2 linked regions of the Drosophila melanogaster genome follow. The protein of the gene in region 1 purifies or fractionates together with the protein of each later gene. This does not show direct contact. Each region holds a gene or a part of one and is shown on either strand. Other genes may lie near its edges. The genes, in order: twz and Doc3.

Region 1 (5,232 bases):
GGTGTGCGGCATTCGCAGCTTGTCAGTGGCCGCGTTTAACGCTACACTTAAACAAACAGCCGCGTGCGTCCACAAACATCGTACACATGCAACCGCTTACGCACACTTGCACACTCACACACACACGCACACGAATGGCGGCGGAAGTAAGGACAACAACAACAGCAGAAGGCCAGGATGTGGCCGCCTATTAAGTGATTTTAACACTTTGCGCATGAAAATTGCAAAAAGGCAACGGCGCGGCGTTGATAATTATCCCTTAATTGCTTAATGAGCGGCACTTGAGCAGCGCCGTCGACAGAAGCGACGTAAGTTTAATTAATGCCAATTTAATTACCACGCCACACACACACACGCACACACACATGAAAGTGGACGCATTTATGGGCTACTACTTACCGTTGTGTGGCACTTAAAAGCCGCACTTACCGCATAGAATTCTCTCACACTTTGTAAGTGAATTAAAGGCTTACTTGTTGTATATCTTAATCAATCGGATATGTTAAAAATATACAAGTTTTTCATAGCTAATTAGTATTATACAAATATTTAAAGTCTTGAATGCTAGGTATTCATGCAAATTGCTTTTCTTTCTACCATTTGAAATGCAATTTTCCAAAAATTCAAATATCTCGAAAATCACCATTAATAAACACTAATTGCTCCCACATATCTTGTTTATCTAAGTGAGCACTGGTTTATAGTTTCGGCCAGAGCTTCGGCCGACTTGTTTCTGGCCTCGAAGTTGGCCGAATGTCTCTATTAGCCAGGGCCATAAGTTATTTGGTTGTTTGGCTTGATTAATGTTCACCTGCCTGTGTGTTCCGAGGAAAACTTAAATCGAACGATGGACTCGGAAGGGGGACTTACTATTCGTAGCAGCCATTCGGACCTCGCTTTGTAGATTGTCAGTGGCAGCTTAGTTTTCGCTCAACCCTTTTCCATTGCCTGCCGGCCGGGGGCAATCTCTTCTTCCAGTGATCTAATCTTGTTATTGCCCTGACCGCCGTCTCCGGTTCCAGGCCGGCATACCCATAAAGACATACACATATAAACATGGACGAGAGTGATTTAGCTGATGTGCCAATTCAATTATTTCTACCTACATAGGATTTTTCCACATGGCACCGGCAAAACATATAAACACCGATAAATGCCATACATACAACAAGCCATGTGGCATATAAAATAGTGAATGTAATTTTATTCACATGTCTGGCCGCAGGCCAATCCGCTTTGCCCGCCGGCACCAAATTGCACAGCAACAGCAGCAACATCAGCCACCCCGGAACCACACGACGCACCTCTCCGCATCTCGGGTGTCGGTCTTTCTTCGGTGTATATATAAATATGTATATATATATATATATATATATGCCACATTATATGCTGGGTACAGGAAGGGGAAAGGGGAGCGGAGCGGACCAGAGAGCTGAAATCCATCATTGGCGCATGGCCCCGGGTCACATTTGGGTTGAAATATTATAATTACAAGCGAACGCCCGCGGGCAAGGCGAGGAGGAAGGTGAACCGAAGCTGGAGCTCCGGCGTCGAACATTGGCATCGCATCGCGAGCTTAGCTTGGCTAACAACCACACTGGAACAAAAGTCGGCTGCTTAGATAGGAAATTAAAGTATTTCACTGAGAGCAAATTTGAAAGAGTTGAGACCAACTGCTGTCCAAGATGGACTGCCAGTTACAAACAGACGCTTTTAGATAGTTTTTTCTTTCAGTGCATGGAAGGGGGTTGGAGGGAACGGGCCAGTTGGACGGGCGATCGAAGTCGCCTGCTGCGGATATGGATACTTAGTTGTGGTGGTTGTGTTTACGTTGCGGCTGATAACATCCCGTTTTGCTGCTGCCGCCGTCGCTGCTGCGCCAGATGTTGCTGCTGCTGCTGCTGCTGCTGCTGCGGCTGGCGTCGTGCCCCATGTTGCATGCAACACGCTCGACGGCACTCGGCACTTAGACCCCAACGAGCCCCCCCAAAACAGTCTTTTCTCAACGGTGGTTCAGTGTGTTTGTGCCGATGGTGTTTGCTTTTGCCTTCGACAACGGCAGCAGGTGAATAACAGTGTCTCTGGCTATTGCCACATGCTTTTTTGCGTTTGTTTTCGCCCAGCCTGGTAACTTGTTGCACGGCACGTGTTTGGACAACTGGCCGGGTGTCCACATTAGTGGGCGGGGCAGCTGCAGCGCAGGATAACAGAAAACAGAGATGAGTGGCATATAATTTAAGAACAACACCGAGTGCCGGTGCCGTTTGCCTATAATTACCCACAACCAGCTACCAACTAACTGGCCAAAGAATCACAGTTTTTTTTTTGTCCCCCAAAATTCATCTACATACATACCAATGCACAAAAATACACATACATACATATGTACAAAGTCCGGCAGCAGGTGACAAGCAGTGTGAAAAAGCTGGGCGCTGGTACCCTCATTATATGCAAAACGCTGCGTCAGGGCCGCCAGCCACTCAAACTTAACTTATTTTTAACTTGCATATTTTTGCCCATTCTACGGCATTACCTCTGCCACTGCCTCAGCCAGTGCCTCTGCCTCTGAATGTCCTTAGGCCATCTTAGTTGCATGTTCGAGCAATCCTTTCCGTTCCGTTCGCTCGTTCCACCCCAAGAAGCTGGAAATAAAGAACTGGTCCTCTCCCATTCATAACTCGCGGCTATATCTTCTTTTGCGTTATATTTCCCTCATTCTGCTTGTCTCTGGGTATCAACTGTCAGTTTTCGAGCTAAAAACGCCGCCGGCTTAGTTTGTAAATCATTAAAATTATGCACACACACACACACATGCCTCACATCCGCACACACTTATTATGTACAATATGCTAGACTGTGTGTGTGTGTGTGTGTTGGGTTTGGTTGGAGAAGTTGGCCAAACTGCATAGGAATCATTATGCAGTTAATGACAAATGTCACGCATTGCTAATGACAAAAGGATGTCGGCAATCGACTCCAGAAGAGGCCCCTTTCCGTTCCACTTTTGCCCCCTCAATTGAAAGGCACTCTCATTTGCGAGAGTCCAGCTTTCACCGACCCCAAGAAATTGGTAAACAAACTAATAAACATAAAGCAACAAATACAATTCAGCACAATTTACCAAATACGTTGCATGAATAAATATTAATCCTGTGTTAAACAACCATATTTTATTTAGTCACTCCATCATATATATTTATTTTTCCTTTTGGGCAGATTATAGTTTGTTTAATGCATTTTATACCCACCTTTTTGTATGGGCTTTAAGGCACTTAAGTATTGCATTAGAATTAAATGGTGCATTAAAAGTATTTTGGGTCAAACTGAAACAATTGAAATAATGTCAACTGCATTATGGCATTTCGATCGAAACATATTTTTAAATCAAAGCCAAATCCTTTAGAATATAACAAATTCCCAAAAACGTAAGCTTAGCATAAATGGCATAATATGAAGGACCAAAAGGATATTCAGTGGTTATTCTTCTATTGATAATTTAATCAATTTAAAGGACAGCGAGTGATAAAAAGGACACAGCTTTAAAAGCTAAACAAACACCTCATTTTGGCACGCATTGCCTGTAAAATGATTACCATTCAAATGTTAATGTAAATGTTGTGCCACATATGGATGAATTGATGGGTGAATGGGTGGATGGGTGGATATTTTGATAGGTGGATGGGTGGATGGGTGGACGGATGGATGCCCGAATTGCTGTGATGGTTGATATGTGGTCGCGCTTGCTGCCACTGCCGCTGCAGTTCGGTCGTGCGTTAAAAATTTAACACGAATTTCAGGCTGCGGCGGCAAAAATGGCATCATTAAGTAAAAGCCCCGCGGCCAGACATTGTGAATTTTATGAGCCTTTTCATATATATGCTTGTGTATATATGGGTATGCTATATATGTTTTTGTTGCTTCCTCGCTGGGTATCGTTAATAATAAAAAATATATGTTCGCTTGTATGTGTGCGCACCCATCCACACATATACATATATACATACTCGTATATTTTAAAGCCCATCATACACATTTGCCATTTGCCCAGCCTTGTGATGATGAGTGTGTGCTCACATAAATAATAGTAATAATAAAAAATCACAATAATGATGATGCTGATGCTGATGGTGTTGGCGGTCGCGGGTGGCGTAAAAAAATCTGCGGAAATTCTCAGCATATGCGATGGCATTTAAATGTTTGTGTTTTCCCATTCAGCATTCAGTATGATATTGATTGACAAGCAAATGCACAAGCGTTGAATAAATATGCAGGCGAGTGGGCGGTATGCCCGCGGGAGGGCGTGGCGAGCGGGCTACTTTAAAAAGCCATCAACAAATAATTACAAACGAGCGCGTAGGAAGTGTATAAATGTCGACGCTGATTTCTGAGCTGATCCGCGGATTCTCTTTTACTACAATATATATCTTTCTATATATATCTATATATATGTATATACATATGTACTTGATGTATGTGACTCCTTGCACCCATATACACCTACCCCCCACTTCGCCCGCCCACCCCACTGCACTGCCCCCAAGCGATCCAAACAATAAAGCATAAAGCGCGCCGCACACATTTTGTCGAATTATTTTGTTGGCAGTCCGCTGGCGGCTAGCTGCAGCAAATTGGCTTGAAATATTGGTATTGCCATATGTATGAGCTTGTGTATGAGTGACTGAATACGTACGACTCTGCCTCTCTCTCTGTGTACGTGTGTATGTGTGTGTGTGCGTGAGCTTGTGATTAAAAAAATATTTAAAATGGCAAAAACGCAAAGCGACGTCAAAATAAAGAAGCCCGCTACCCCATTTTGCCGCTTGAAACAATAAAAGCCCCCCCCCAACAACCCCCCACAGCATTTCCCATTCCATTTGAGTGAGTGAAATGAGCGATAAAATTGCAACAGTTTCCACTCGTCGTACGCATTTGCTGCGATAAAGGATGAAAAATTGAAATGCCACTGCTCACGCGAAACAATTAAAATTTGACATGTTTTATTGAACACTTTAATGCCGGTATTATTTGCAGTTGGCTCCTCGCAATTTACGTGTGTGTGTCCCTAATTTATATAAAAAAAGTAGTAAGCTAAAACGTTTAAAGGCTATCGTGTAAAAAGATATAAAGAAAATCCCTTCCTTATATATATATATATATTTTTTTTTTTTGCTTACCTGCTTTAAGCTGGCATTCAGACACACGGTACACCATCTCTATGGCAGATCGCCGATT
Region 2 (4,540 bases), on another chromosome or scaffold:
CGCACAGCCAGGCCATAAAACTGAAACTGGCATCCTCGCATCATCGAGGCTCTCGCTTTTGTTCCACGGTTGTTCCCGTCGTTGAGGAGGCATCAGCTCGGGGACAAAGTGTGATGATTTTTATGACTCGCCTGTGAGTTTGTGCCGCCAGTGTCGCCCTGCCAACGGCACCGGCACCCGAAATGCAGGACAAGTGGCAACAAGTGGCTGATCCGTTAGACGTATCCCTTTTCCATCCCGTCCTACTACGATGCTCAAGTGGCTCGAAGGCGACAGTGTCTTGGCGCCAGTTTGATTTGATGGCCGCTCCCGGCTGCCGCAATTTGTTGTGGCCCAGCATCGAGTACAAAGTACCATTTAAAGGTCTGATTAGCCGGACTTATCACGGGGCGGATCTCTTTCGAGATTCTCCTTCGCAACGGTAGCGGCGATATTTCGCTGCATCTACAAGATGCACGGCAGATTGCAGATAAGTTAAATGCAACCGAACATATGGGTTCCGATCATGACGGTGGAATAGATAGATCTATGAACTGGTTATCAAAGGTTTGACACTCAAGTGCTGTCTCAAGATGATATGCCGATGATCAAAATGTTAAATAACCTAGAAGATACTTTAGAAGTCATTCGATTTGAAGGATAAGCTGTGGGAAAATAATAATAATAATAATAATAATAGTGCAGTACTAAAATTCTTAACCTAAATTTTAAATCTTTTTGTATAGTATCTCTTTAAATATTCTTGTCTAATAAATACCACTTTTAACAAAGAGTAAATATAAATTACTTGATTTTCACACCTTTATTTTATTTGCCTAGATTTGGCTTCATTATCACATTGATGAATAGTAAAATGCCGACATAAAACAAAATGCTCGTATATTTTTTTTTATATTTTTGTTATAATGATAATGCAATGTTATAAAAGTACTTTGTTTGATAATATTTTTGTTTTTTATCTATTGAATTGTGGCAATTCAACTCAGACTGTAAACACTGATAGTTAACAGAGAGTTAACGAAGATTTTCCAATCTGTTTATTGTTTTTAACATTAACAAAATTGAAAAGAACGATGAATAAATTTATTTCTACAAAGTATTTTGGAAATTCCTCCTCTAATTCTATACGCCTAATGTTTTTCTCGTGCCTCCGAAATTACAGCTTCCCATTTCTGGGACAATGTAATCTCGCCGAACATTATTGGTTGGCCCATATCCAAAACGTTTTCCAGTTCCATAAATATTACAAACGATTAGGCGACTTCAAAGAGCGCTCCCCCGATTCCACGAAGAAAAGCCCCATTCCCCATTGCCGTTCCCTTTCCACGTAACGCTATCAGCAGCAAGATGGGTGCCGTGCCCCCCAGTTCCGTGAGAGGAGGTCACCAGAACCGCTCCACGCGGCGTTACGAAAATGGCGTTCCATCTGGCGCAGCGAGTGCAAGCGGGACGGCGTAACGCTCGCTGATAAGCGACCAATGGCAAAGAGATAAACATACACACATGGCCTGACGCACTGGAAGTGGAAGCGAGAGAGCGGGTGAGTGGCAAGCCACTTGAGCATGAGAACAGGTTAGGCAACTACCTGAGGATAGGGATCGGATCGGATCGGATCGGCAGAGTGAAGAGCGAAGTGAGCGGGAGGAACCCAACCGACCGGATTCTGGCAGAACTGAAGTAGTGCCCGCTCTGAGATTCCGAGAGACAGTCTCAATCTGGACAGCAAAGCGATCAGTTCGTGTTCCAGACGTCGATTGCCCACGGAATAATATCAACGTATCACAAAAATAATAGATTACGCACATAGCTCCACGAAGACCCCAAATATGTTGACCTTGCCCAACATCGCCGATCTGCGATTGCAGCAGCAGATCGCCCAGGAGATATACCGCCAGCAGATTATGCAACGTTTACCCGGTAAGTGGAGCACTCCCTGCGCTTGTGATTTGCCGTCGGCTAACCCAAAGTGTCTACCACAGATCCCCTATGCGGCCTGCTACCCAACTTTGCCGGACACTTTATGCCACCGCCGCCACCGCCGCAACCCACTTTGCCCGGCGATGTGGAGGCCAAGCTGGAGAATAACGAACTCTGGCAGCAGTTCCACAGCATCGGCACCGAGATGATCATCACCAAGTGCGGCAGGTTGGTACCATTTTAAAGTCAACTATTTGCTCGCCCCCATCAGCTTATCTCCCATTGATAAGCCTTCTGCTTACTCTTAAATCTTACGGCGCAAACGTGTCACTAACATCCATTAACCAACGCCTCCATCCCTTTCAGACGCATGTTCCCTTCGATGCGGGTTTCCCTCAGTGGACTGGAGGAGGAGGCCAGCTATTGCGTGCTCCTCGAGATGGTGCCCATTGGCGATTGTCGCTATAAGTTCTCTGGATCCCAGTGGGTGCCGGCCGGAGGAGCCGAGCCCCAGAGCCCGCAGCGCATGTATCTGCATCCGGAGAGTCCAGCCACGGGAAAACACTGGCAATCCCAGGCTCTGCTCTTCAGCAAAGTGAAATTGACGAATAATACGCTGGATAACAATGGTCATGTAAGTAAACTTTGTCAAGAATATTACATAAACAAATTTGATCTTTTGTTCTTGAGTAGAAATATATGTATCTTTGTATATCCTCAAACTAACCGTGTATTTTTCTGTCTCTCCAGATCGTCTTGGCCAGCATGCACAAGTATCAGCCGCGTCTGCACGTCATACGAACCTCTGATCTCGGCCAGATTCCCTGGGCCCCCCAACAGGCCTTTATCTTTCCGGAGACGGAGTTTATAGCCGTAACAGCTTATCAGGTGCGTGGTGCTATATCGCAGTCTAAATATGGCACGTGATAGCTAATCCTCTTGTTTGCATTTGCAGAATGACCGCATAACCAAGCTGAAGATCGACAACAATCCCTTTGCCAAGGGATTCCGTGAGTCGGGTCAGTCGAGATGCAAACGGAAGATCAATGACTCGCCACCGCCAACGCAGCCCGAGGCAAACCAGGTGGATCGAAGCCCGGTGACATCGCCGTTAGCCAAACGGTTGCGACTCGTGGAGGAATTTCCCCAGCACCATCATCACCAGAGTCATCACAGTGTTCCTATGCAGCGTCACTATCTGCTGGATGCTCTGGAGGCCAATTTCTATGTGCCAGCGCCACCGCCGCCGGCCATCGAGTATGCCAGGCACATCGGTGGTGCTTATCCAAGTTGGGCTTACACACCGCCATCGCCGGCCTCCTCTGTCTCGTCCTCCTCGGCGGGCTCGACGAGCGGCGAATCTGCTGCCGACCGAGAGGCAGATGCCGATGCCGACACCTTTGTAGATGTGGTTGGAACCGCACCGGCTGCTCCTCCGCCTCCATCTCCGCCTGTGCCAGCCACTGCTACTGCCCCTGCTTCGTCATCCAGCGATCCGACGATGGCCAAGCCGAAGCGCAGCAGCTTCAGCATCTCGGACATATTAGGAACCAGCTCGTCCATTTAAAACTATCAAGTGCAGACGGGTGCATGTGCTCCCGTTTGGCTTGGAATCGGTGCCTTGTACATTTAATTAGCGTTTAGTTGCCATCGTCTGCGTAGTGTCTAAGCTGAATTGTGATATTTTGCAGTTAATTAGGATTTCCAGGTATTTGCCATCAGTATTTATCGTATTTATTATGCAATTTTAATTGTTCACATGATTTCGTAATGGATTTATTGTCTTTGGCATTTTAATGCGGCATAAATAAAATTGTACGTACATATGTACGTATCCAATGAATTCGATGGAGCTATTTCTGGGATGAAACAATGCGGGGAATGTGAAGCAATTAGATGGGACAGATGCGAAGAGCTTCCAGCTCGAAGATCTGAATAAATTCCCCAATAACTTCCCATGACTGCGCTTCGAATCCTGTTCCTCGAGCAATTTGTGCATGCTGTATGCCTTCCATTTGCCTGTCCTCGCCGAATACATAATTCGGCGTGGTTTTGCCTTTGGTTTCGGTTTCATACATATCTCCCGCATGCGAGGCATAAAAACCAGTTCCTCCAGGCCCCGCACCCGCCCTCCCTCTCCTGCTCCAACTTCTTGTGAAAGAAAGAAGGTTTCTAAGAGCAGAACAACCCACCGGCAAGCAGCAACATCGGCAGCAACAACATGGTCATGGGCTTATCAGCAGATCAGAGCGAGCCGCATCTTAAACGCTGGCGCCGGCGCCAAGTTAAATGCGCTGATTGAGCGCCACGATCACCGGCAAACCTGGCGAGCAGTCCAATTCAAATACCCAATCCACAATCTCCAATCCCCAGGACCCACTACCCACTGCAGCCGTGTAATTGATGTTTTCACATTGTAGTTGTTAGCGAAACTGTGGCCATTTACATACATACATACATGCAATTGTCCGGGTGTCCCATCACACATCTCCATGTTATCGAGCGGAAACGAGGCGGCTCCTTTGATGGACCAGTCCGCCAGTCGCAAGTGTTGGCCCCAAAGAGAGCCGGCTAGATGATTGGCCAAAACAGGCAATCTTCGACGGTGGCATTTGCTTCAATT

What was found.
Region 2: the proteins of twz (region 1) and Doc3 purify together in Drosophila melanogaster (affinity purification with mass spectrometry, with the first as the bait; one large-scale study listed by BioGRID). This does not show direct contact.

The regions. Positions count from the first base shown.
Region 1 is NT_033778.4:21,572,815-21,578,046, reverse strand, and holds the start of twz (tiwaz), read left to right. Parts: upstream 1-2,011; 5' UTR 2,012-2,065; intron 2,066-5,232. UniProt on the Drosophila melanogaster protein: Functions with the transcription factor TfAP-2 to regulate octopamine neuronal signaling pathways that control behaviors such as male aggression, male mating, and the initiation of feeding.
Region 2 is NT_037436.4:9,003,492-9,008,031, forward strand, and holds Doc3 (Dorsocross3), read left to right. Parts: upstream 1-1,704; 5' UTR 1,705-1,826; coding exon 1,827-1,917; intron 1,918-1,979; coding exon 1,980-2,145; intron 2,146-2,283; coding exon 2,284-2,551; intron 2,552-2,667; coding exon 2,668-2,805; intron 2,806-2,872; coding exon 2,873-3,484; 3' UTR 3,485-3,758; downstream 3,759-4,540.